2 linked regions of the Ovis aries genome follow. The protein of the gene in region 2 purifies or fractionates together with the protein of the main gene of each other region. This does not show direct contact. Links are inferred from orthologs where the notes say so. Each region holds a gene or a part of one and is shown on either strand. Other genes may lie near its edges. The genes, in order: CETN3 and XPC.

Region 1 (3,823 bases), on a different chromosome or scaffold from region 2:
TTGGGGAGTTTAAGATGAACCTGAGATAACGACTAACATTTTAGCAGACAGAACCTGGCAATTAGATTAAAGAACAGCATGATGAAAGGCATAGCATAAAAGGACAGGTTGGAGTATATTCTGTCAAAGTATGCATACTATATAAGTGGTGAGGGTTAGAGTAAAAAGAGGAAGAATACAGTGGGAAATAAAACGAGATGGCTGTTGTAGGACAGATCTCATAAAAGGCTTTGGAATTTATTCCATAGGCACTAAAGAATCATAAGTGTCTGAATATGAAAATGACATCACCAAACTTGCATTTTAGGAAAAGAATGATATTAGGATGAAAACAGAAGTTTAGAGGCATAGAGGAGGCAATTAGGAGGCTACAAGAGACTCTAAGTCAGCGAGAGCAGAGAAAATATCAGCTTCTTATTGGGCAGCACCAGTCAGCACAAAGAACTGTGTACTAGCAGGCATTCAAGGAGATAATGAACGAAGCTATTATATTATAAAATTCCAACAAAGAAATTAGGGCCTGAATTAGGACAGCAGCAGTAAATAAAGAAATAAAACTTCAAAATATTTGAAGGGTAGACTCAAACTTAGACATGCATAAAGGTTGAGGAAGAAAGCATTAAAGGATGAAATTTACTGAGTGGCTGAAATTTGGAGATACTTCACCCTCAAAGAAAAATACTTTCTTGAAGTGTGGAACCTCATAGTATAACCTGTACAGTTGGTTTTAAAGGTCTGCTTCATTCCAAGCCAAGTATGTGTGATACTTATGCAAAAAGCCCATTACAGGATGAACAACATTTACACTAAATAAAGGGACAGTTTGCAACGGGTCTTGAAAATCATTTGGTTTTAAAAAAATTACTCATGTGTACAAGTAGGAATATTTGAAATATATGTTTTACTCAAAACTTACTTTCTCCATCACCATCTTTATCAAATTCTTCTATCATAGCCCGAAGTTCTTCATCACTCATGTTTTCACCCAATTCTCTGGCAACACGTCGCAAATTCCTCAAGCTTATTTTACCAGAATCATCATCATCAAATAGTTTAAATGCCTTTAATATTTCTTCATGTGGATCTCTTTCCAATATCCAGTCTGTCACTATAGTTAAAAAGAGATTAAAAGTAAATCTTCACAGTCACAAAGGCATTCATTTGTAAAATCAACTAATTATTAGATGAGAATTAAAACTGTGAAATTAGTTTGGCAATAAAAATGCCAAACCAAAGTACAAAATCCCTGAGATAAACCTAAAATCAGAAAAGTCAAATTCATATTTTAGAATTTAACCTTCACATTATCAACAATTTATCCTATTATATGGCTTCCCAGGGGGCTCAATGGTAAAGGATCTGCCTGACAACCAGAAGACATGGGTTTAAAGCCTGGGCCAGGAAGATCCCCAGTGAAGGAAATGGCAACCCACTACAGCATTCTTGCCTGGGAAATCTCGTAGACAAAGGAGCCTGGTGCGTTACAGTCCGTGGGGTCGCAAAAGAGTCAACCACAACTTGTGACCAAACAACAATATCCTATTTTAAGAGTAAGCATAATTATATTACACAGAAGCAAATTTTTAAAAACTATATTCATACCATGTTTATTTAAGGTCTACTATTAAGAACTGTGCTAGGTTCCACTGACATCAAGCATACAAGTCTAGGAGTTTGTAACCTATTTGTAGAGATGACATACCAACAAAACAATCAAAACCAACTAAAAATTGTTTGCTGGCTAAACTTAATAGTAATACTGATTGTCCTCCAAATTTAACACAACTTAAAAACAAATTTCCCTAACAAATTTACAAAATTAACTGTCACCATTGATAAAGACACAGTCTCAGAAAGTATATGAAAATTCTGCTGGTATCTTCATAACTTAGAAGAACCCCTTGGTTTCTCAGAAGAAGTTACTAAAAGGATAGAATCTGATTATAGTAAAAATTAAAAAGTCTGGAAAGGAGATCTCTCTAAAGTCAAATCCGTTCTATTCAGCAAGATAGTAACTATCAGACAGCTAAATTAAAATTAAATGTGAGCAATTTCAGGCCTCACTAGTAACAATTATTTAATATACTAAATTTAACAATATATAATAAGAGTAAGCTTAATATTTTCATAAAACCGCAGTCTTTAATCAATAGCCACAATAACAAAACTTTTTAAATCTGTGGTATAAAATTTTTTAAGTTACTAGATAAAATTCTGAAAATATCAAAGTAAAAATCTTTGAAGTAATTCTACATGTTAATCTACCACTACAAGAGGCATTTATGATTTTCATTGTGCCATTAAAAATAATCCCATCCTGTGAGGTTTACAGAATCATTAAAAATTTGCAAAGGCTTATAATCAGAAAACACTGGAATATTTAATGCACTCAAAAGAAAAATACAATTCAAGTCCCCCACAAACTGTTGCTGTGCTGCTGTCCGCATCATATGTGGTTGAATGAGCTTTAGAATAAGCACCTATTCAAGCTAATGTTAAATCATCTACACATATATTCAATAATTTTCTCTTTTTGAGTTTTTCCTCTACAATAATTTTCTTTTATCCATTAATTTTATACAAAAGTCTTCCAAGTAACTAATTGAAGTATATTACTATAAGTATGCAAATCATCAAAGCTCATAAATATTCAGTTAAAAAGGAGTTGGCATATATACAGCCATAACACCAAAATAAAATACCACACTTAACTTTATGGCTCATACTCAACTTATTTTGAATTTAGTCCCAACAAAAAAGCAGGACAAGGAAAAAAAAAAGTGTTAAGAAATTTTCTTCACCAATTAAATAATTTACATGACAGGTGAACCAAAAAAGCAGCTTGCTGAAAATATTAATGTACTTAAAGAAGCAACAGGGTGATCTGGGGAACAGATGGGGTTCCAAGATGTATAAATTCCTATCCCAATGGTGCTTTAATTGTGTTAGTTACTTCAGACTTGTGTGTCTATAGAATCTTTTATCAATACTTTGCCTTAGAATGCAACTTTCCTTTGGAAGTATAAATACCCATCATTCTGGACAGCTAACGCATTTTAACTTTATGATGACTCTCCTCCATGCCTTCATGTTCTATTCTTGCTCTACAAAGTAGAATTATAACATATATTTTTTTCAATGAAAATAAATCAAGAGAAAGGCAGTAAAGGTGGGTTGAATCTATTTCACAAATTTCTGTCCATGTAACTCTATTTTCAAATGACTTAATTATACTATCAGAAATGTACTCACTCAAAACAGTTAGATCTTATACATTGTGAAAATCACTTAAGGGTCCTCCACCCGTGCCCACCAGAGTCTATGAGCATGCAACCAGAGACTGCAAATTCAACACTCCGAGCCCATCCAGATGGCCCCGATCCCAGCTTTCTATGCTTCAAAAACACTAAGAACAATGCCCCTGCATCAGTTTTTACTATAGCCAATCACCTTTCATGCCTAGAACACGGATCATTCCCAAAGCGCCCTTAGCCCAAATAATCACAAAGTCCACATCTATAAGAAGAATGGGGGCCAGTGGGTGAAAGTTCAGGAACTCAAGGAGCACAACGGACACATCACAGGTCCCGACTGGGCTCCCAAGGGTGACCGCACCATCACTTGCAGGGCCCACCGCAATGCCTACGTCTGGAGTCAAAAAGATGGTGTCTGGAAGCTAACCCTGGTGATCCTGAGAATTAACCCTGCAGCCACTTTCATCAAGTGAGAACAGATATGCCATGGGCAGAAGGGCATGACTCATCTCTGTTTGGTACCTCAAGTCTGAAAATGACTGGTGGGTGAGCAAGCACATTAAAAAGCC
Region 2 (3,823 bases):
TCTTCGTGACCCCATGGACTGCAGCCTATCAGGCTCCTCCGTCCATGGGATTTTCCAGGCAAGAGTTCTGGAGTGGGATGCCATCGCCTTCTCCACGAGCGCTACCTAGATCTGTTTAAAGATCCCACTTTTTCCACAGACCCCAGAGACGAGCAACAGGAGCAGGTTTCCTTAGTCACACTTCCCTGATGGACCCGGTCAAGACGTTTTCCGCCGTCTCACCTGAAATCTTCCCCTTCGCTGAGGGCTTCATCCTTTACAGCCTGGGGCTCTTCAGATTTCACTGAAACCTTGGCCGCCTTCCTTGTCACTGGACCGTCTGCTGCGCTCCCAGCATCACCGCAGCCTCTCTTCCTCTTTCCTCGGGCAACTTTTGTGGGAGGGCTCTTCTTTCGTGGTTTCTCATCTTTGACGACATCTGGATGACCACACGGAACACGAGAGGAGGGACACAGGAAAAGCGGAGACATTGCTGGTTCGTGGACAGGGTCACAGAAGTCCTCCCTGGTGACCTCTCTCCAGACGCCCATCAACATCCCATGTTTGGTCAAAAACCAGCGTTCAGCCCCTTCCACCTCCAGCTGGTCTGCAGAATACACGCTTCCTTCATCAGTTACTCTGTTCTACCTCCTAAGGCTATAGAGACACCAGCACACGACCCATAAAACCTAAACTGCAAACCTTAAATTTTACCTAATGTCCAGCAAGGAAAACGCATCAATCCATTAACTAACACCTTGCTTGTTACTACCTGCTGAGACTAATTATTTTAGGGATAATCCACCCCTACTAAGTGAAAAGCTTCAAGTTTATAAACATGTCTGAGCGTGAAGGACAAGGAAGCCTGGCATGCTGCAGTCCATGGGGTCGCAAAGGGTCAGACACGACTGAGCAACTGAACAACAATGATTTCCCCTAATCTAAGCTTCTGCTGTCTTTTGAAACCAAACGCTGCTCAAAACACACACTTTATGAAGTCTGTCCAGTCTAACCCAAATGCCACTCATACGAGCTTATGTGTACGCTAAGTCGTTTCAGTCGTGTCCAACTCTGTGCAACCCCATGGACTATAGCTTGCCAGGCTCCTCTGTCCATGGCATTTTCCAAGCAAGAATACTGGAGTGCGTCGCCATGCCCTCCTCCAGGGGAGCTTCCTGAACCAGAAGTTGGGCCTGTATCTCTTATGTCTCCTGCACTGGCAGGCGGGCTCTTTACCACCAGCGCCCCCTGGGAAGCCCCTCAGCAAGCTTCAGGTTGGAATAAGTTAGCAGTAAGTGAAAAACAACTTTATTTTAATAACTAACCATTATTAATAATTAATAAATAAAATAATAAAATTTTGTTAAAAGGAAATATAAAAAACCCATACACTGTTCATTTTAGCTCCACTAGGGTATCTAAAAGCATGGTCTCTTAACACATAACTATATTACATACGTTATACTATATTAATACAACAGGGGAAAATATTTTTCTATTATAAATATAGCCAGGCAAATTATCTTAAATCTGAAATAAATCATCTTTTTTCCTCTGCACAACTCTGCTTCAGGTAATATTGCAAAACAAAAATACTCTAACCTTTTTTGAGGTCCCAGAAGGAGCTGAGGTAGTAACCTAAAGTTTCAAATTAATTAATTCCTTTCATTTATGGTTTGAACTGCTGACACCCTGCATATGTATTTTTAGTCCCCAAGAATACAATTTTGCATGGAAGAGAGAGACTCTTCCTTTTGAGCTAAAAAAAACAACAACAACACCTAAACTTTAATAGATTTCACCTTTTAGCAGCGTTTGTTTCAATGCTGGCTAAAATCACTGACTGGGTTCTGTTTCTTCAGATTTCTTATTTCAAGGCCAAAAGTTTATTTACGACCTGACAATTTGGTAGGGCATACTGAAAACCAGGATTTCTAGATCCTACAATGGTTTTTAGCCCTCTGTTAATAAGATGCTCAATGCTCGACCAGTCTAAACATGCAGGTGGGCAGTTGCTTCAGAAGTCCTGTCTCTTCCTCTCTAAACTTGCTTGGTTGGAAGGCAGAGGTGAGCATTTCTGTGCTTTGCATAGAGAGGTAGAGAAGTTAACAGTGAGAACAAGGGAAGCGAACTGTGACTCTAAAAAACGTTTATAGTATCATTATTCAAAGTATCCAAAATTTTAAAAGTCTGAATGCCCATCCAGTAAATGGACATTGATTAAATCGTTAATTATGGTGCAGCCACACAATGATATATGATGTGGTCATCTCCTAAGACAAAGGAAGAAGACGTGATAAAACGCTGAGAATGCAAAGCTGTCGGCATAGTTTCTACTACACAAAAAGACACAGACTAGAAGGAAACATAGTATTATTTGGTGGTGGTGGTTTCTGGATGGGAGACGTATGGTAACATTTTTCCCCTAAATTCTTTGTGTGTGCCCCAGGGCATCAAAGAGGCTATCATCTAGATATTCCAAGCAAACGGAAGCTAAAATATAGCTCAGACAGCAATAATCGTATCAGGCAAGATAGACCATAAAACAAAGTCTATAGTAATAGACAAAGACATTATATAATGATAAAGGGGTCAATACAAGAAAATGATGACACTGATAAACATATATGCATCTAACACAGGAGCATCGGAATATATGCAGAAAATATTAACAAAAACAAGGGGAGAAGCTGACAGTAATACAATAATTGTAGGCGACTTCAACACCCGAGTTACGTCAATGGACAGATTATTCAGAAAGAAAAATCAATAAGGTAACGGTGACCTTAAATGACACACTGGACCACATGAACTTAATAGATAACTTCAAGACACTGTGTCCAAAACAGCAGAATACACAGTCTTTTCAAGTGCGCATGGAACATTTTCCAGGATCGATCGACCGCATGCCAGCCACAAAACGAGTCCCAACAAATTCGAGACTGAAAAGGTATTAAGTGTCTTTTCCAACGACAGCAGCAGGAAACCAGAAATCAATTATTTTTCAGGGGAAAAACGAAACACAGACACTCGGAGACTAAACAGGACCCTACAAAAAGCAGACAGCCAGTGACGGCTCGCGCCGCCGCAGAGAGAACCAGGAAATACCGCAGGACAGCGAAGATGAAAACCCAACTTTACAAAATCCACAGGGCACAGCGAAAGCAGTTTCAAGAGGGAAGCTTAGAGCAATACAGGCCCACCTCCAGAAACAGGAAAAGTCTCAAAAAACCTGAGCTACCATCTAAAGGAATCAGAAGTATCAGTCATAACAAAGAAATCTTGCCATTCGCAACAACAGGGAGGATATTATGCTTGGTGAAATAGAGAAAGACAAATACCATGTTTCCCCTTATACACAGAATCTAAAAGACAAATGAACAAATTAAAATAAAAACAGACAGAGAACAAACCAGTGGCCACCAGTGGGGAAAGGGGTAGGGGGACAGGCAAGACAGGGGAAGAGGATGAAGAGGCACCAAGTCAGTAAGTTACAGGGATGTAACGTACAGCACGGGGATGTGGTCAATACCGTGGAATAGCTTTATATGGAGTATTAAGTGTGAAAGTGCTAGTCGCTCACTCATGTCCGATTTGTGACCCCGTGGACTGTAGCCTGTCAGGCTTTTCTGTCCATAGAATTCTCCAGGCAAGAATACTAGAGTGGGTGGCCATTGCCTTCTCCAGGGGATCTTCCTGACCCAGGGACTGAACCCAGGTCTCCTGCATTGCGGGCAGACTCTTTACTGTTTGAGCCACCAGGGGAGCCCTTATCTGGAATATAATCCAATATCCAATATCCAATCCTTGTTGTCCATCTGAACTAATGCTATAGTAAGTCAAC

The links.
Region 1: the proteins of XPC (region 2) and CETN3 purify together in Homo sapiens (affinity purification with mass spectrometry; 4 studies listed by BioGRID and IntAct, counting the BioPlex papers as one, with this or other methods). This does not show direct contact. The link is inferred for Ovis aries from reciprocal best matches to the Homo sapiens genes XPC and CETN3.

What each region holds. Positions count from the first base shown.
Region 1 is NC_056058.1:87,589,013-87,592,835, forward strand, and holds part of CETN3 (centrin-3), read right to left. Parts: exon of another isoform or gene 3,362-3,823; intron 1,109-3,361; coding exon 917-1,108; intron 1-916. UniProt on the Homo sapiens protein: Plays a fundamental role in microtubule-organizing center structure and function. As a component of the TREX-2 complex, involved in the export of mRNAs to the cytoplasm through the nuclear pores.
Region 2 is NC_056072.1:57,966,965-57,970,787, reverse strand, and holds part of XPC (DNA repair protein complementing XP-C cells), read right to left. Parts: exon of another isoform or gene 419-3,823; coding exon 223-418; exon of another isoform or gene 1-222. UniProt on the Homo sapiens protein: Involved in global genome nucleotide excision repair (GG-NER) by acting as damage sensing and DNA-binding factor component of the XPC complex. Has only a low DNA repair activity by itself which is stimulated by RAD23B and RAD23A.